3 linked regions of the Arabidopsis thaliana genome follow. The main gene of each other region encodes a partner of the protein of the gene in region 2 in a complex. Each region holds a gene or a part of one and is shown on either strand. Other genes may lie near its edges.

Region 1 (5,429 bases), on a different chromosome or scaffold from region 2:
CGATCTTTGGGTTTCCATCAAGATGCACAACATTTTCCCCCAAAATTTTCCAAAGTGTATATCTTTATTCAATTTTTCTTCATATATCAAAATATAGTTTCTTTTGTATTTATTTACTTACGAACACAACATTTTATAAAATAAGCCCATGATAATAATGCAATAATTCGTTACCATTCTCTTATATTACTTGTTCTTCTTCTCTTTCTGTATTTGGTGTATTTGGTCGTAAATTAGATAGACGAATGGGGTCAGAGAAAAAAAGTCATCTTGATTTGGTTATAAAATGAAAAAGATATTGAAGAAAGAGACCAAATAAATCCAAGAAAATAATTTGGAATCATTAGGAGCAAGAAGTGGCTGATACGCTTTGCAAAACCACCAGAGAGACAAAGTCTTTTGCCATCTCTTTACCTTCACGTTTCTCCTTAGTTTCTCACCGTTACACCGACGAATTCGGTCCTTAATATACGTCTATTGTTACTTTGGTGATGATTCTCATGAATATCTTCATATTTCTAAACTATTCTTATTTGGGATATTAGTATAACTTTAAATTGGTGATGATTCTCATGAATGTTTTGATATATTAAAATATATATGTTCATTAAACAACAATTTATTCATCTTTATGTTTGCATTGCAGTAGTACTATACCAGTCTGTCACCTTTAATATTAGCTAATCTGTAAGAAATTTACATTTTGATCTTGTGGATGAGATACAATACAAGTATACAACTATGATAAAGACTTCAGAGTAGACACAAAATACCATTTGAAACTTTAAAATCTGTATTTAACCTACAAATAATCATTATTTTCCTATACCACATTATGTACACCAAACCAAACCAATATTTAGATCCACCAAAAGGAAAGTCCTGCCATTTCCTTTTCACTTTGTACAAACTACCAAAAGAAAAACTTGTAATTTGATATTTAGTCACTAGAGTTTCTCCGGATTTGGAGTAGCAATTCCCTCAGTCTGAGTCCCAGAGTAACCATTTACACCTTCATTACTAAGACTATGAGACCATGGAATCGAGCTAACGGTTGGAAAACAACAACTACACTCGTCCGCACACCGAGCCTCGGGAAGAGTCTCAGTCTTGTGACCATCAGGCGAAACAGCTTCCCAAAGCGGACCCCAACACTCGACTTTGTTGAACTCATTGACATTAGAATGGAAATAGACCCAAACAAGAGCTTCTTGTAGCTCAGGATAGTTGTTCAACAAGTTCCCATCTCCATGCACAAAAGCCTTCAACACCTGTATATATCAAAACAATAAACATTTTGTTTTACATGAAACCAATAAAAAGTTTCTTATGAATTTGGGAACTTACCACAGGTAGTTCTTTGCAAAAGATGAAATATCGAAACTTTGCAAAGAGATCTAAAAGGAAATGGCCACCGCTTATGTGACAATGAACGTGAAGCGACATTTTCCCTTTCACTTTCTTCCATTCTGCCACAACTTCATCCCGGTATAGCCTATTTGCCCATCCTTGCAACTATAAAAAACATTTCTATACATATCAGCCTCTAAAGTGTTAAGAGATTCTGGTGAATATAGACACATACATAGGTTAAAACAATCATACATAAGCCTCTAATATTTGCTCCAAATAATCAAATACATAAACATTCTACTCCTATAAACAGAGCCATGTAGATATGTTAAGACCAGAGAGAGAGGTGTTTTTACCTGAGAGTTGTTTATGGATTGAGAAATAGCTAAGGTTAGTTTAGCTGTAATGTCACTGTGAGTGAGTGTGTAAGTCCTAGGGAGCGTTGAAGGATGCTTCTTCTCATCAACCCCTAAGAAGAGTACTTTCAATTTGGATGATTCGAAAATCGCCGGTCCAAACAACCTTGCAACCTGCACCGATCCCAAAAGTTTCAAGTTCCATCAATAAAGACAGAGGCATAGATATATCCATAACTGAGACACATAAAACAAAGATATGTCAAAATGATTAAGAGAACAAATCCTTACGGGAACAATCGATTGGTTCTTCTTCTTGGATCTTCTATTGTTGAAGAAGAGTGAGCTGCTGCTGCTACTGTTACTCCGTTTGTCTGAATAAGCTGGTTTCAGCTTCGTTGGTAACAACATAATCGCCGACAAACTACACATCTCTGCTCTCTTGAAACCCAAATCAAAAGCTTCAATATTTCAGAAATAACAACAGAACAAAACGCCACTAAATACAGAGAGACTCCTTTCACGAAGCTTGGATACAATTTTTTCACGCGAGTTCTTGCGTGTTCGTACACTGAAACCACAATCAAAAAGATTGTAACTTTAAGAAATAAATATATAAAAGACCCAAAATTTGAGCTTTTCCTTTGCTTGATGATTGCTTGAAGCTTTGGTTTTGAATTTTCCTTTTGAGATCTTCCAGGAATTTAGGGTTCTTTGTGATGCGTATTGAGTTGGTTCTTGTGTTTAAAAGGGATTGTTGCTTCACGTTTCACACTTCCGTGCCCAAATCTGAACACTCTTTTGGAATTTTTCTGAACACGAGAGAGTGCCACGTGTTCTCTAATCTTTGCATGAGCTTCCCCATGTGTCGTCATGGTGGGGCTAACAACTGGCTCTAACCGTCTTTTTGGATAACTTTAGCCATCTCGTTGCGACAAAGAGACACAGATTCGGCTCTAACCGAACCTAACTCACGTACTGTAGTTGTCAGTCGAACCTAAAGCAATACGGTTTAGTTTCGGTTCAATTTAATGTCATTCGACTCGATTACTCGGTTTAGTTATTAGACCTGTGAAACTCGAGAGGCTTCTTCGCTTGAATCGTCGTGAACAAGGACAACAAACGCAGGTATTGATGGAACCGGAGGAGTCAGAGAGTCCCATGTTGATCCATAAGGATGTTAAAAAGGGCTGAAATTTGTGATCAGGTCCAGGTCCATTAAAAATATCGGGCTAAAATTGGGCTGGCCTGTTACAGAGCTTTTATTTTTTTCTTCTTCTTTTACGTTAAGCGACGTCGTATCTTGTAAACAACAAAACACGAGTACTGTTTTTTCTTCTTCTTTCTCCTTCAATCTCTTCCTCAAATCACTCTTTTTGGGGTTCGTTTTGTTTGTGTTGTAAGCATCCCTGTTGTGCATTTCGTTTATCCAGGTTCGTATTGCTTACCTAAACAAGTTCAAGTTTTCGATTTTGGTTTCTAGGTGTTTACCAGTTTCGCCATTTTGTGGTTTATTGTTTGGATAATTTGATTTCTTTGGATTTTGCTGATACCCATTTGTGTGTATAGAAATTTGATTAATCTGGATACTAAATTTCGTTTGGAGAAACATTGAACCAAAGGAATGCGAAATCTTTTGATGATGATTGAATAGTTTTAGTGCCTGCTAATACTTTAGAACAGAGTCAATTTTTTAAGGTCATGTTATAGAATCTGAGTCTACTTGTCATTTGCTTTGGAACAGGTGAATTCTTGCAAAGCCTTGAGCAGCTTTCAGATGATAAAGACTTTGGTCTCTCCTTATAGTGTATGTACTCTACCTCCACCACTCTTTGAGTCTTATTCTTGTTTAGTTCAATCCACGTGATCCAGTTTTAATTTTATTTAATTCCTCCTATGCGTCTGTTAAAGTCAACTATTTTATTCTTTATGTAGGGATTTGGATCTCAGAAGTTGAAGTTTGACAGATCTTCTGAGAAAGTGAAGACGAGAGCAGTAAGAATGGAGCTCACAATCACTCAACCTGATGATTGGCATCTTCATCTCCGTGACGGTGATCTTCTTCATGCTGTTGTTCCCCACAGGTCTTATAAACATCCTGCAATCTTTCTTTTCTTTCCTTGCTTTACTTTGTTTTGCAGCCACTTTTTTGTTTGCTATTGGTGTTTCTTGTGGAACCATTGTTTGTTATGTATGAATTCCTCAATCACAATCTTGTGCTGGCGTTGATGCTTGTGCTGTACATGATGGTTAATGGTGTATGTAATTATGTGCAGTGCGAGTAATTTTAAGAGAGCGATTGTGATGCCGAATCTGAAGCCTCCTGTCACCTCCACTGCAGCTGCCATTATTTACCGGAAATTTATCATGAAAGCTTTGCCATCTGAGAGTAGCTTTGATCCACTTATGACACTTTATTTGACTGACAAAACTCTACCTGAAGAGATCAGGCTTGCAAGTAAGTACCTGTGCTTTCTCCATCTTGTTGCAAACTAATCAGATACATTTTCATCTTTCTGATTGAGATTCTACTTGCTAATGTTCAGTTTATGCATATATGATCTTGTTATTAGGGGAAAGTGGTGTGGTTTATGCGGTGAAGCTGTACCCTGCCGGAGCAACAACCAACTCTCAAGATGGTGTCACGGATCTCTTTGGAAAATGCTTACCGGTACTAGAAGAGATGGTCAAACAAAACATGCCTTTGCTGGTAAATAAATCATACACCACATAGACTTGTATTTTTGTCTTTGTCTTGTCTGAGGAATGTTTTGATTAGGTTCATGGGGAGGTCACAGATCCGAGTATCGATGTCTTTGACCGCGAGAAAATCTTCATTGAGACAGTTCTGCAGCCTCTAATCCAACGCCTTCCGCAGCTGAAAGTAGTGATGGAACACATCACAACCATGGATGCTGTGAATTTTGTTGAATCTTGCAAAGAAGGTTTTGTTACTATCTTATTTTCATTTCTTGTCTTTTGGTTTTTGTTAATCTGCATAGCTCATAACATTTTGTTGATTATAGGGTCTGTGGGTGCAACAGTCACACCACAACATCTCCTTCTCAACAGGAACGCCCTTTTCCAAGGTGGATTACAACCTCACAACTACTGTCTTCCCGTTCTCAAAAGAGAAATACATAGTATGTTCTTCACTTTCCTTTTGAACATTAATATTTCATTTTTTCAGCAGCTTTCGGAAGATCATTGCTTTTACTTCATTGTACAGGAGAAGCCATTGTCAAAGCTGTAACTAGTGGAAGCAAGAAGTTCTTCCTCGGCACAGATAGTGCTCCACATGAACGGAGTAGAAAAGAATCATCCTGCGGATGTGCTGGTATTTACAGCGCTCCCATTGCCTTGTCCCTATACGCCAAGGTCTTTGATGAGGTAAACTGTGTAACTTCAAACAGTTTACTTTCCCGGTTTGTGATTCCTTATGTTCATAACTTTAACTTCTTTAACATTCAGGCGGGTGCGCTGGACAAGTTGGAAGCTTTCACCAGTTTCAATGGACCTGATTTCTATGGCCTTCCGAGAAACTCGTCAAAGATCACACTGAAGAAATCTCCTTGGAAGGTTCCAGACGTTTTCAACTTCCCATTCGGAGAGATCGTCCCTATGTTTGCTGGAGAAACCCTTCAATGGCAACCGTTGAAATAATGTGGTGATTTGAAGTTGTCAAATTTTTTCTCCCAAATAAGTGAACTCGTGTACCTT
Region 2 (7,487 bases):
CCGAGTAAAGCGGGTTGGCTCTTACGGGATGATCGAGGAACCTTTCTAGGTGCAGCTCATGCTATAGGCTCTATTACTACCAATCCGATGGAAAGTGAACTCCAAGCTTTAGTCATGGCCATGCAACATTGTTGGAGTAGGGGCTATAGGAAAATTTACTTTGAAGGTGACAATAAAGAAGTCTCAGAGATTGTCAATGGTCGGTCTTCAAATTTTGCAGTTTTTAATTGGATAAGAGATATAAGCGCTTGGAGATCAAAATTTGAAGAATGCAAGTTTACTTGGACAAGGCGATTTTCAAACATGGCTGCAGATGCTCTGGCAAAACAACAACTTCCTTTGAACACTCAGTTTTATTGCTATAACTATATCCCGTTTGTAATAACTGATTTTTTACATCGCGACTTTGCTACAGCAAATTATTAATAAAGCTGATGTTTGAGGAAAAAAAAAAAAACTACAAGATCAAACCCTAGTTCCTCCGATGAAATTGCGGTTAGAAAACTAAATATTGATTGACCTAATTCAAAGAGACCTTTTTTGTGCAGAAACTAAATATTAAAAATCCAAGGTTCCAAGAGATCAAATAGGAATTTAAGCGAGAAGCAACATACCTGAGTCTCGTGACAACGGCGCGTGGTTTGCGTCAATACTTGGGACTCTCGGTGAGATCCGCCATGATTTGCTAGAGAGATCGTGAAACGCAAGAAAACAGAGAGACAAACGGTGGCGAGATCATTGATGGTGTGATCACCGAGTTACAGTTCCGACGGTTCTGACGGTGGTGAAAATGGATGGTGATCATCGAGCTTTGACGTTCTCGTGATCGGTGAGTTCTTTTTGTAAGAGAGGAACAGAAACAAACAGAGGCTAAAAAGACAAAAGAAGAAGAAGAAGGTGGATTTTTTGTTTTCTTCTCGTAATCCATGCTTTGGACCTTGTATCAGCCACTTATGATCATTTGCTATATTGATGCTTTCCAATTTTAGAGTATTGAAATGGGTTTCTTTGACAATCATTTTGAGTTAGTCATCATTCCTTGTTCTGAATCAAGAATTGGCTTTTGTTATGTTGTCTAGGTTCTGCTTGTAACTAGAGTAATGCTATTGTAGTCTCTGTTGTTTATTTGTAGAATCATAGAGAGTCGTGGAAGCATGTTTTAGTTGTTACTCTCGATTTCTTGTCGATGTTGTGGTGTTATAAATTGAGCGTTTTAACCAATACAAGTTAGGAGATGGTTAGTATGTGACTATGTGTTAGTGGCCATGTATGTAGTTCGATCAGATAATCTGAATGATGTGCTAAAGAGCTTGCATAGGAAGACTGCCTTTGTGTTAGCTTGCATAGAGACTTGTTGCAATATATGAGACTGAAAACTATTATGTGAAAACTTTAATTTGTGTACAAATATTTTTAACTCTTAAAATTAAACTAACATTGTACCAATTAGCACATGAAAGAAACACAGAATTCTGTGAACATATGATGAATAACTATATAAACACATTATGGATTCAGTTAAGGAGACAGAAACAAGAAGATGAATTTCAGATATATAGCAATAGAGTCACTTATAATCATATCAGAGCTTATACTTTATACAAATTATCACTTTAGTCCTTAAATTAAAACCGATTTAATCGACAATCTTGTTATTCTTTAAAACAATTTGTTCTTATTTTCAATCTTTAAATTTTGCAACAATCGACAGAACTTATCGTTATTCCGTGTTTTTATTTTCATATCTTTCTTAAAATGTTTCAAAATAATATATGTTTAATATTTTCTGATTTACAATAGTTATTAAGTTATATGAAATATAATTATTTTAAATTTTATTTTATTTTTCAGAAAACTCTTATAAGAGAGCTTACCATTAGAATATGAAAAAAAATTAAAACTCTCTTATAACTTTTTAAAAATTTTAATAATAAAAAAATGGAGAAAGCCCGTGAAAGAGCTCTTACGAACCAAAACCATTCAGTCCGGTTAAGAATTGGTTATCAAGTTTGGTTCCTAAAAGATATCCAAGTTCAAAAGCAAAAAAATATCTTCTTTTCTCTCTCTCTACTCTCTTCTCTTCTTCTCTTCTTCTCTTCTTCTCTGGCTGGGCAACCATGATTACTGTCGTCACCTCCAGGCTCTCTCTCCTTCCTCCAGTCTTCTCCGTCGTTAACTCTTCTTCTTCGCGTTCCAAAGGTGCTCAATTTATTTCTGCCACGTCTTCTCTTTATAGCACTCTGTTTTACACACGTCGTTGATTCTTCAGTTTTTTAAAAGACCCGTCTTATACAAAATTTCAGTGTAACCGATCCCTGAAATTCGTTAAAGGGATGAAATTTTATCTAAGATTCGGAGTTTTCTTTTCGAACATAGTGGTAATGTTTGTCGAATGCTTGATTTGGTCTTCCACAGCTGTCACTATCGAGTTTGAAGATAGAAATCTTGTGTTAACTTAGTATGTATTACTGCATAATGTCAATTCTGTTTGAAAGCATCAGAATTTCGGAACAGATTTTTGTTTCGTATAGCATCGATCTTTGTCTTGTGTGTTTTTATCTTCTCTCTGAAGCCTGCATGAACCCTTCTCTTATGGCTTTAATTGCAGATATGAATCTAGAGCCAAAAAAGAAGGTTAAATTAAGAGAAGACTGGAGAGAAAAGTCCAGACCTATCCCACCCGGAGGAACCTATCCAGCTAAAGACCATTGCAGGTTTTTTCTTTCTTTTTTGTTTGTTTGTTTGTTTACCTCACTATTTTTGTCTCATTCTTATCAAGATCCTTGGTGTTCTGATGGGTTTGCAGTCAGTGCGGGCTATGCGACACCTACTACATTGCCCATGTGAAGGAGGCATGTGCATTTCTTGGAGATGGAATGTCAAGGATTGAGGTAATGTCCATATAAATGGATAAGATTTGATACTCTTTTTAATTGATGGGCTAAGATTCTTATTTTGTTAATATTTTAAGTTCTTGTGCAGAGCTTGGAACCTGTTGTGCATGGTAGAGGAAGGAAAGCAGATTCCTTACAAGATACATATTTTGGGGTGCATCAAGAGCAGCTCTATGCTCGTAAGTTGAAGCCTGTCGAAGGTAAATAGACACTTCCCTTCCACTGTTCCACATTTTCTACTAACTTCTTTTCCTGGCTCAATCTAAGCTAGGGCACTTTTGTGTCTCGTTCAAGATGAATTTAGCTTAGCTTTGTTGTTTACTTTTCATTCTATTTTCGGTTGCAGGAGCTCAGTGGACTGGAATTGTCACAACCATAGCCATTGAGATGCTGAAATCTAATATGGTTGAAGCTGTCGTTTGTGTGCAGAGGTAAAACTACTGTTGAATTTCAGAAATGGACTAGGCTTACATTTATCGACCATGCTGTAGATTTTTCCATCTATCCATGTAACTGATTTATTGAAATATTACAGTGATCCTGAAGACAGATTATCTCCAAGACCAGTATTAGCCAGGTTTTCCACCTTCCTAATGTGGTTTATTTTGAGTCCATTCTTCTTCAAGTCGCCATTTTTTAGATGTGGATCCATATTTTGCTGTTACTCTGGATATAGAAGCGTATTGATGTTTCATTTCTTTTCATTCTAAGGACACCTGAAGAAGTTTTGGCTGCAAGAGGTGTCAAGCCAACTCTGTCTCCTAATCTGAATACTCTTGAATTAATCGAGGTTATTTGCCAAACCCTTATTTCTTGTTTGTGTTTTCAATCACTGAATCCATTTCACATGAACTTAGAATTTGTATTGTAACAGGCTTCCGGAGTGAAGCGTCTTCTGTTTTGCGGTGTGGGTTGCCAAGTGCAAGGTATGGGCTCAACATACTTTTTTGTGGACGTATATTTCAAGTTTCTCCATATCGTGACTCTCATAGTATTGTAATGCAGAGTGATTTCTTATACTGCAGCATTGAGATCAGTGGAGCAGCATCTGAATCTGGAAAAGTTGTATGTACTAGGCACCAATTGTGGTATTTTCCTCATCCTATCTAGATTTGTTTTTTCTCCAGAACTTTCACAACTAGTTCTTGTGTTGTACTTTTGAACATTCCATGTTGTATATGTTATTTCGGAGTCTTGTATGCTTAGGTCTAGAAATGCTTATACATTTTTAAACAAGTAAAAAGAACATCTTTGATTAATAGTGGACAACGGAACACGAGATGGACTAGACAAGTTTCTGAAAGCAGCTAGTAAAGAGCCAGAGACTGTTCTCCATTATGAATTTATGCAAGATTACAAGGTTAGCATTAATACAAAACCATCACTTATCTGTGCATTTTCTTTGGTGATGCCAATCTTGTTCAATTTCTCTTATAGGTCCAACTCAAACACTTGGATGGACACATTGAAGAGGTAAATTCGCTTAAAATACTGTGTTGCTCTGCAATTGCAGCTGAAAGCCGTTTTTAAAAAACTTTTTTTGGCTAAAGCAGGTTCCCTATTTCTCTCTACCTGCAAACGATTTAGTAGATGTCATAGCTCCATCGTGTTACAGGTAATACAAGTCTCTGCATTGTCTCTATACCTTGAAATAGATAACCTGTCGGAAATTTTTAAAACTTGTCTACAATTACAAACCCTATCTTTTTTATTCTGCAGCTGCTTTGATTACACAAATGCATTAGCGGTGAGTGTTTCTCTAGCAATTAAGATGTCTTTTCACTTAATTTTGATTCTGCCAATTTCAAACATTTCCTGATATGTATGAGCTTGTTTATCTAGGATTTGGTTATCGGTTACATGGGTGTTCCGAAGTATTCAGGTCTGAACATGACTGACCATCCACAGTATATTACAGTGAGGTCAATATTTCTACGTATTTTGACATGGACCATATAGGTTCTCGTGGTTGGATAAAATTAGTTTTGTTTATGCCTTAAACCACAGAAATGAACGTGGGAAAGAAATGCTCAGCTTGGTAGAAAACCTTTTGGAGATCACTCCAACAATCAGCAGCGTAAAGTTTCTAACATTTATATTTGTTGTTATATTTAAGACTTTAAGAGTCCACTTAACAAATAACATGAACAAACACACCTTTTGTTGTTGTTTCAGGGTGATCGGCGACCTTTTGTGACAGAAACTGTTAAGGCAGACGATGCTGCTAAGTTTGGTATGTTTTCAAACGTATTCGAAACTCTTTTGTTTCTTGAATCGTCTCTGCTTAAAGACATTCAGTTTCAAGCAAAGCTAGATGCCAAAAAGAAAGTTCTCAGCAAATGCATGCAACTAACATTGTGCTAAAGTCTTCTAACTAGTCTATAATTTCTTAGGTCAAGGTCCTGCTCAGCCAGCGCCACTATTTGTTGGAAACATTATTGCGTTCATCCTAAATTTGGTAAGATTATTTCCTTATGAACACAAACCGAGAAACAAGCTCATTGCATAAAAAGTCAAAGAGTTTCTTAACTTGCAAAACCATTCTTGCTTCAGGTTGGTCCTAAGGGTCTAGAATTTGCTCGGTACTCGTTGGACTACCATACCATCAGAAACTATTTGTACGTAAACCGCAAATGGGGAAAGCAAAGGTAAGATCTGAAACACACTCCTAGAGATAAAAGTTTATTGCGATCAACTGTGTATTTCTATACTATTGGATCGTTCTCTAATGACCAAAGCTGCATTACCATCTACAGAGCAAACACCCACATGCCATCATATGCCAAAAAGATAGTGGAAATGTACAACAAAAACGGCCAAATAGATAAAATGCTCTCCAAGAAATGAACATTTTAGGCCTTTCTCATGTAAGTTTCCAAATGTATATTTCATCCTACAAGTGAGTAAATGTACATTGGTCCTACTGTTTCTCAACTTGTAGTATGTTAGTAATATCCAAAACTATTTCCCTCGTGAATTTGGTAAGACACCGGCAAGAAAAGATGGGTCGGTTTGGTGTTTTTTGGCAGAGAACAGAGAATAAGAAACAGTCTAAATCAGCGGCTGAATCCAAATCAACCCATGTGGGTTCCTTCCTCCATATCTTTAGGTTAAGGTGATGTCCGAGTAAAAGGTTGCAGGGTTTTGCATGAGAACATGAATAACTGTTTTAAGAGGATGGGAACCAGACATTTACACAGTTGGGGGGAATTAGCTTTTAATGTCTTTTTTTTGCTTGGACAAAGAAGAAGGAACCATGGTTAAGCTTCACTCGCTCGCTCACTCACTCACTCACTCACTAACTTACTCATCACCATATTTCACACATTGGAAACTTCAAATTTTACTCTCTCTCTTTTTTTCTTTTTTTGTCTTTTTGTTAGTCAAGTCTCTGCTCTGCTCGTTCAATGACTTTGCTGCAGAGACTCTCAGACCTCAAGTGAAACTCATAAATGTCTCTGCTCTTTTGCACCATAGTTGATTTTTTCTCACCAGAGGCATTGTCCTAATACAGAGCATGTAAACGTTTTTTCTAATAATATATTTAAGTGAAATAAAGCTTACTTTGGTACCTTGAATTAATTTTGAGTTGCAATTTGACATATAACAATGTTAGAGAATTCATTTACGTATTGCATATTTTGGATCTGTATCTGTATCTGTTTCAGTATATATATATTTATAACTAGATCCAACATCATATATAATATATGATTTCACTCAAGTTTTTCTGAGAAAGTTGTATAATGTTATATTTATTATCCATCTGTGTTTCAAATTAGATACATTGTTCATCCCTAATGGATTTTGCATATCCTACAGAAATGCATGTTTCAGTATTTTCAACTTGTGTTCCCTGGAGGTTGTAATCCATGAAACAACTTTAATATGGACTGTCCAAGACAATCATGTGTAAATCAATCATTTGCCAAATATAATGATTACAAAATGGCTAATAATTCCTTAATCAGTTAAATAACAGCTCTAACTTGTGAGAGTATTCTTCCAATAATGAAACAGCATGAAATTAGTTGTTTCTTTTCCTGATCAACAACATCATCATAGAGATAACACAACATGCATCGTTGAGAAAAGAATTACAAAACCGTAAAATATATTTGTCATATTAGATTAAGCAAAACTTCTTACAAGAGTTCAAAATCTAAAATGAAGATTTAAAAAAAATACAACAACAAAATAAAGCACTCTTAAAATAAAAATACATAAAAAAGCCACATCTTCCTAAAAAAACAAAGAAAAATCCCCCTATTATTTTTTTCTTTTCACAATTCTCTTTTTTTTGGGGGTATTTTCTTCCGAGGAGAGGGCTTAATTATCTTCTTCTTTTTTTGAATATTTTTTTCCCTAAATTTGATAATGATGATTAGAAATGTGAAATACAACGACGATGACGAGCAGCAGCAGTTTTCTTCTGTTGCTTAGACTCTTCTTTCCACCTATTAGCAATATCATGAGCCACACTCATAGCATCAAGCGACGCACCAAACAATCCTTTTCTCGTGAACCCTACCGCATACAATCCCGCCTCTCCTTTCCATCCGTTTGGAAACGGGTTTTTTGGTATCCCATCAT
Region 3 (6,044 bases), on a different chromosome or scaffold from region 2:
ACATCAAAAGAGAAATAAATACCTCTTTTTTCTTCTTTTTTTTAATGGTTTTTTCAGGTTCATTGATGATATATCTCAAGAAGAGCAATCAGGACAACGTATCAATCCATTCTCATTGCATTCAGGACATCTCTTGACCCTATCTTCATCCTCATCAAACAGTTTCTTGCTGCCACTACAATTGGAACACGGAACAAATCGAATGTCCCCACAGCAATGGCAAACAAACCCTGGTTGTCTCATTGGAAACTCTTTAAGAATCTTAGCAAGCTCACCAATCTCAAACAAACTCTTGATCACATCAGCACCACCAACATACTTGCCCATAATGAAAACTTGAGGCAAAGACACAGACTTCTCTCCCATTGCAATCTGCAACTCTTTCCTATAAGCGATATCCATGGAGACGTCGCGCTCATCGATCCAAACCCGAAACCCTCTAAATATCATTCTGACAGCATAGCAATCCTCATACGTCCGTCTAATCCCTCTCAAGCTAGTAAAATACACCACAATCCTGTCCTCTGTCCCGGGAAGACGGATGACCGAGTTGTTTAAGCTCGAAAAAGGCGATATCCGCGATTCGGGTAAAAGGGATTTACCGGATTTCTGCTTCTGAGGAATCTCAGCTAAGGCAGGTTTAACGGGTTTGGAAGTCTCGAATAATCTACAAAGGTTTTTGACTTTGCCTTTAAGAGAAGTTCCCATCGATTCTACGGGGGTGTAGAATTTGGTAATGGAGGTGGTACGATTGAGAGAAGGATTGAGATTGTGGGATTTGGGGCCCGAATCCACCACTGTTCTTCCGTGAATTGTAAGCGACCTGTTGAAGAACGACGTCGTTGTAGCCGATTTCGTCGTCTTCCCTGAGAAATCAGCGTTTTTCTCTAATCCCGCCATCGAAATTAGATCAAAGAAGCACCCCTTTCGACGGCTAATTTGGTGTAAAACCTAAAATAGTCAACAAAATCAAAACCCTAGGATCAAATTCAAGCAAATTGACGAATACAGAAAGAGAAATTGAAAAACATAAATTGAATAATCGTCGATCACCTCCCAAGGAAGAAATGGAAATTGGAATGATTGGAAAAGAATCAGCTTCTCTGATTTGAGTCGTAAAACGATCGGGTGCTGCGTTTTTGAGCTGATGAATTCTCACCTAAGATTAAAGAAGACGAGATTGATGAAAGAATGATCTGATTTTTCTGGAAATTTGGGGGTTTGTTTGTGTTTTGGAAGAAGATGTGGAGGAGAGCTCCGAATTAGCCTTTTGTCTGTCTGCCTTTGTTGCAAAGCAAAGAATTTTTCTGTTTTTTTTTTAAAGATATAATTATTATGTCTAAGTTATTAAAGGCTCTTTAATGATATATTTACTCGATGCTCCTTCGAGGAAAAACGAATTTGAAAAAATAACAAAAGTGGGATTAAATTGCGAGGAAAAGTCGTTTACTGGTAAAACGCGGTTGTCTTATTAAGAAAGGTTATGGTTACAGCGAAACCAGTTTCTACGGTCGGTTTATTGCTATTGATTCTACGCTCGGTTTAGAGATAGTTGTCTGTATTCTAATTGAAGAGTAGTGTATTTCGCTTTCTAGTCTTCGACCATTAGGATTTTTAGTTCACACAAGATCAATTCTCTAACATTTAAAATCAACTAGAAAACTCAAATAACACCGTTAAAATAGTGATTAAACCATTCAAAAATTAAACGGGTTTTATATTGTTTGATATGAAAACTGCAGGTTTTTCGATTGTTTTTTTTGTTTTCCGATTGTTACACAATGGAAAAGAAGATCAAAAATCAATTGTTTTTAAAAAAAATATTATTCTGTCATATTTTTGCAACAAACATGTGTTTTTGCAATGTTACATCGGTGTCAAATTAGCAATGTCAGATCCAAAACAAAATGTCATATTGTGAAAAAAATAACCCTACACTTAATAATACAGTATGAATTTTGGATCCTTTAAGAAAAAATAAAAACTCGATAAAAACGTTGCTGTCGGTTTGCACCGAACGATTGAAGTTAACCAAGCCAGCAAGCAACCCAATTCTTCTATTTCTTCTTCACCTTTAGATTTTTCCTCGCTTAATTTCTCAATAACGCTCTCAGAGAGACCATTTGATGAAGCTTCTCGCTTCTGGAATTTGAAAAGGTACAAGTTGCAACTCTCTCTTTTCTTTCTTTTCTTCCTGGGTTTATTATATAGCTGGAGTTCTTTGTCGATGAATCGGGTGGTGTTGTTGTTGTTTGGTTTCAATTTGATAGAAGATTGGCTTGACCTTGATTTGCTTTGTTTTGATTAGGATTTGATAAGACGAGTTCATAGAAGATTACCGCAAGTTCATCAACTTTTTGTATGTGGTTTCAGCTTTTGAAGCAAAATTCTGATAACTATACAAAGATTCCAGCTTCATATGTGATTTTCCTTGTTATTCTTAGCTTTGCTATGAAGTTGAGATATATGAGTGGAAAATTCGTATTAAAGGATATGCCTTTTGGTTGTTCATTTGCAGGAACTTGTTATGGAGATAATCTCACTGAACGTTGTGCCCCAGTGCTCTGTGGTTACTTGGAGTAGTAAATTAGCAACGAAAAGATTGGTCCCAAATCGGTCAAGTTTGTTATTCTCAGGGGTCAAAAAATCCAGACTTGTGATTCGAAGTGGAAATTCCGATGGTTATGTTGTTGGTGAGAATGATGACTTGGGTCGTATAGCCAGAAGAGGAGAATCAACGTCAAAGGTTTTGATTCCTGGTTTGCCTGATGAATCAAATGGTGAAATTGCTGCTCGAATCAGTCATTCTCACTGCGAGTGGAAGCCCAAGCTTAGAGTACATTATGAGAAAGCCGGTTGTGACAATCTCGATGCTCCTGCGGTGTTGTTTCTTCCTGGCTTTGGCGTTGGTTCATTTCACTATGAGAAGCAGCTTACCGATTTGGGAAGGGATTATCGAGTATGGGCTATTGATTTTCTTGGACAGGGTTTATCTCTCCCTACTGAAGATCCTACTACCATGACTGAAGAAACCAGTTCCTCGGAAGATAAGGAACCATTTTGGGGATTTGGTGACAAAACTGAACCGTGGGCTGATCAACTTGTATTCTCTCTGGATCTCTGGAGGGATCAAGTTCAGTATTTTGTAGAAGAGGTTAGCAATATCTGAGTTCAGTTGTTCTATTACTCTTTAAGCTGTTGATTTTGTTCTTTTAGTCGTAATTTCAAAAGCAGTGTGTTAGCTTTTTTTTTTTAGTGTAGATTGTTGCTATGTGTCGTATACTCATGGATTTCAATAGTTTTCAGCTCAGAACCTGAAAGTGTGGGTATGGAGTCTTCTGGTGTTGCTTTGGGAATGGGAAAGTTTAGGATGCACTAGATATTAGAATTCATCTCTGTTCTTTGATTCCGTTTGTGTTCTAGTTTGAGATCACGATCTTTTTCATCTGAAATAAGCTGCTGAGTCGGTAAGAGTATGTGGTATTTGTGTTGTACAGGTTATCGGTGAGCCTGTGTACATTGCAGGGAACTCACTTGGAGGGTATGTAGCTCTCTACTTTGCAGCAACCCATCCTCACCTGGTTAAGGGTGTTACCTTGCTTAATGCAACACCTTTCTGGGGTTTCTTCCCTAATCCAGTAAGATCCCCAAAGCTAGCACGTCTCTTTCCATGGCCCGGAGCATTCCCTCTGCCGGAAAGAGTGAAAAAAATCACAGAATTGGTGTAAGGGAGACTTTATTAACACATCTCCTCACCTGAAAAGTATCATTTTCTATTTCTATCTCTATCAGTCTAATATCTTTACTTCCCAATGAAACTGCAGGTGGCAAAAGATAAGTGATCCTGAAAGCATAGCTGAGATACTTAAACAGGTCTACACAGACCATTCTATCAATGTGGATAAAGTATTCTCACGTATTGTGGAGGTCACACAGCATCCGGCTGCTGCAGCATCGTTTGCTTCAATCATGCTTGCTCCTGGTGGAGAGCTATCTTTCTCCGAAGCTTTATCTAGGTATAAGACAGTGTGGTTTCTTGTTTTTATATGTTTTTTACTCTGCGTGATTGGTGTTATTGCTTATGAGGAATGCTGCTATTTGATGGTTTATGCTAGGTGTAAGGAAAACAATGTTCAGATATGTCTCATGTATGGAAGAGAAGATCCATGGGTGAGACCGTTATGGGGAAAGAAGATAAAGAAGGAAATCCCCAACGCTCCATACTACGAGATCAGCCCAGCGGGTCACTGCCCACACGATGAAGTCCCTGAGGTATAATGAACTAGTCAATAAATTCTTCAAACTCTGCAATTAGGTATAATGAACCCACCATTTGGGATATGAAAACGAGCAGGTGGTGAACTATCTGATGCGCGGGTGGATCAAGCACCTGGAGTCTGGTGGTTTTGAAGCGCTCCCGCTTTTGGAGGACACTGAAGAAGATTGGGAGGAGTCCAGGATTGGTAGAGAAATTGAGTTCCCGAGAGATGGTTGGAAAAAAGCAGTGAATCTGTGGTTATATGGGTCAAACTATACGTACTGGAGAGGAGTTAGAGAATCTTTCAGATCCAGTTTTATAAGGGTGTTTGGAGGGAAGTCTGCATAGAAGAAGCATGGAACAGTCGTCTAGTGTAAATTAATTGTAATCTATGTTGCATCCGATGCTAGCTATATAATGTTGTCTGTAGAATCAAGTTTCTAAAATGTTCAAAAGGAAAAGTTAGAAAAATATCTACTTGATAGTTAGTCACCTAAATCGAAGGAACTCCTTTCTTGCATTGTTGTATATAATCCACAGGTTCAGATTAATATAGGAAGGCGACATTGCAGGCCATATGAGTTGTCTTAAAAATTGGAAGAGAGCTTGAAATTACTCTGATTCCAAAAGAAGAAAGTGAGTGTATTTGAATTGTTAATAATTTCCAAAGGTGAACAGTTTTATTGAACATGTATGGTGTTTGAAAAGACGTATCATTGGTTACTTTTCTCGAGGCAAAGTCGTATCCTTGACCATATTCTTCCCTTAGCTTGAATCTCATTTTTGTCAGTTCCACGGTCAACAAATAAGGGACTGAATTAGAAGGCTATCCAAACCACTTTTGAGAAACTTACTTACACAGGCTATATATCCAACATGAGATTTGGTCTGCTTCTTTTCTTAATTTGTTTCTTAGTCTCTGATAAAATCTCGTTATCTATTTATTGATTTGAGTGTCAAAAAAAAAAAACCGGTGTTACAAAGCTGCTACTAAAGTGTCGTTCTACACTAGTTGTAAGAAATTACTTCTCAGTATGTTTTTTTATCTCTCACTAGTTGATAACATAATGGTAACCATCAAACAATGCTAGTTGTTGCAATTTTATTCTTGGGGGTACTTTGAAATTGTTTCTAATTGTTGCTCTGAACTTTTTTTTATTTTTATGTCGGTCAACATTGTTGGTCTGATTTATGTCTTACAACAACATTAAAGAGAAAATACACTAGTACTAATAAATCTAATTTTAAAGGGAAGGAAAAAAGAGGAAAGAAAAAAACAACTTTAGGAAGAAAAGGGAAAGTAGGACCCAGAAGAACTGACAAAATCCTCCAAATGTGGCAAAAAGGTATCATGCAAAAAACCCTAAAATTGAAAAAAGAGAGCACGCAAAACAGTGGCCATGCAACACACAACATTCATTACCGAGTTTTTACCTTTCTTTCTTTTTTCTATAAAAACAAAAATATTCCATCCAAATTTAGCAATCTTTTGTGTTCCCATTAATAGATTCCCAAAAAGCACTTCTAAACCCATTTTGGAATACATTGAACCTTTCCTCTTCTTCTTCTTCCTTCTACCTTCTTCTCTCTGTTCAATTTTGGGGGAAAATGGGTCGTGGAAAAATCGAGATAAAGAGGATCGAGAATGCGAATAGCAGACAAGTCACTTTTTCCAAGAGGCGTTCTGGGTTACTTAAGAAAGCTCGTGAGCTCTCTGTTCTTTGTGATGCTGAAGTTGCTGTCATCGTCTTCTCTAAGTCTGGCAAGCTCTTCGAGTACTCCAGTA

The links.
Region 1: HCAR (region 2) and NYE1 share a complex: the UniProt entries of both Arabidopsis thaliana proteins name them as parts of the SGR1-CCE-LHCII complex.
Region 3: HCAR (region 2) and PPH share a complex: the UniProt entries of both Arabidopsis thaliana proteins name them as parts of the SGR1-CCE-LHCII complex.

Annotation. Positions count from the first base shown.
Region 1 is NC_003075.7:12,015,829-12,021,257, forward strand, and holds NYE1 (non-yellowing 1), read right to left. Parts: upstream 2,816-5,429; 5' UTR 2,779-2,815; intron 2,707-2,778; 5' UTR 2,142-2,706; coding exon 2,001-2,141; intron 1,884-2,000; coding exon 1,710-1,883; intron 1,516-1,709; coding exon 1,348-1,515; intron 1,272-1,347; coding exon 948-1,271; 3' UTR 635-947; downstream 1-634. Other genes in the region: PYR4 (pyrimidin 4), read left to right, coding at 3,487-3,516, 3,645-3,793, 3,986-4,167, 4,283-4,419, 4,489-4,654, 4,736-4,852, 4,939-5,099, 5,181-5,372. UniProt on the Arabidopsis thaliana protein: Magnesium chelatase involved in chlorophyll a degradation in the chlorophyll-protein complexes of photosystem I (PSI) and photosystem II (PSII). Contributes to the degradation of PSI and PSII in the thylakoid membranes.
Region 2 is NC_003070.9:1,281,123-1,288,609, reverse strand, and holds HCAR (coenzyme F420 hydrogenase family / dehydrogenase, beta subunit family), read left to right. Parts: upstream 1-1,990; 5' UTR 1,991-2,117; coding exon 2,118-2,199; intron 2,200-2,608; coding exon 2,609-2,714; intron 2,715-2,806; coding exon 2,807-2,891; intron 2,892-2,982; coding exon 2,983-3,094; intron 3,095-3,240; coding exon 3,241-3,325; intron 3,326-3,429; coding exon 3,430-3,471; intron 3,472-3,605; coding exon 3,606-3,684; intron 3,685-3,768; coding exon 3,769-3,820; intron 3,821-3,919; coding exon 3,920-3,982; intron 3,983-4,156; coding exon 4,157-4,254; intron 4,255-4,331; coding exon 4,332-4,367; intron 4,368-4,447; coding exon 4,448-4,509; intron 4,510-4,613; coding exon 4,614-4,641; intron 4,642-4,736; coding exon 4,737-4,816; intron 4,817-4,901; coding exon 4,902-4,971; intron 4,972-5,069; coding exon 5,070-5,127; intron 5,128-5,287; coding exon 5,288-5,352; intron 5,353-5,447; coding exon 5,448-5,542; intron 5,543-5,650; coding exon 5,651-5,741; 3' UTR 5,742-6,447; and 1 more. Other genes in the region: AT1G04625 (Polynucleotidyl transferase, ribonuclease H-like superfamily protein), read left to right, coding at 1-378, 690-779; YUC3 (YUCCA 3), read right to left, coding at 7,279-7,487. UniProt on the Arabidopsis thaliana protein: Probable iron-sulfur flavoprotein that converts 7-hydroxymethyl chlorophyll a to chlorophyll a using ferredoxin as a reducing equivalent. Catalyzes the reduction of a hydroxymethyl group to a methyl group. Belongs to the chlorophyll catabolic enzymes (CCEs).
Region 3 is NC_003076.8:4,450,625-4,456,668, reverse strand, and holds PPH (pheophytinase), read left to right. Parts: upstream 1-1,960; 5' UTR 1,961-2,157; intron 2,158-2,308; 5' UTR 2,309-2,361; coding exon 2,362-2,421; intron 2,422-2,518; coding exon 2,519-3,154; intron 3,155-3,497; coding exon 3,498-3,724; intron 3,725-3,824; coding exon 3,825-4,016; intron 4,017-4,115; coding exon 4,116-4,272; coding exon of another isoform or gene 4,273-4,278; exon of another isoform or gene 4,279-4,354; coding exon 4,355-4,606; 3' UTR 4,607-4,934; downstream 4,935-6,044. Other genes in the region: AT5G13810 (Glutaredoxin family protein), read right to left, coding at 76-900; AGL15 (AGAMOUS-like 15), read left to right, coding at 5,867-6,044. UniProt on the Arabidopsis thaliana protein: Alpha/beta hydrolase dephytylating specifically the Mg-free chlorophyll pigment (pheophytin), yielding pheophorbide. No activity on chlorophyll. Belongs to the chlorophyll catabolic enzymes (CCEs).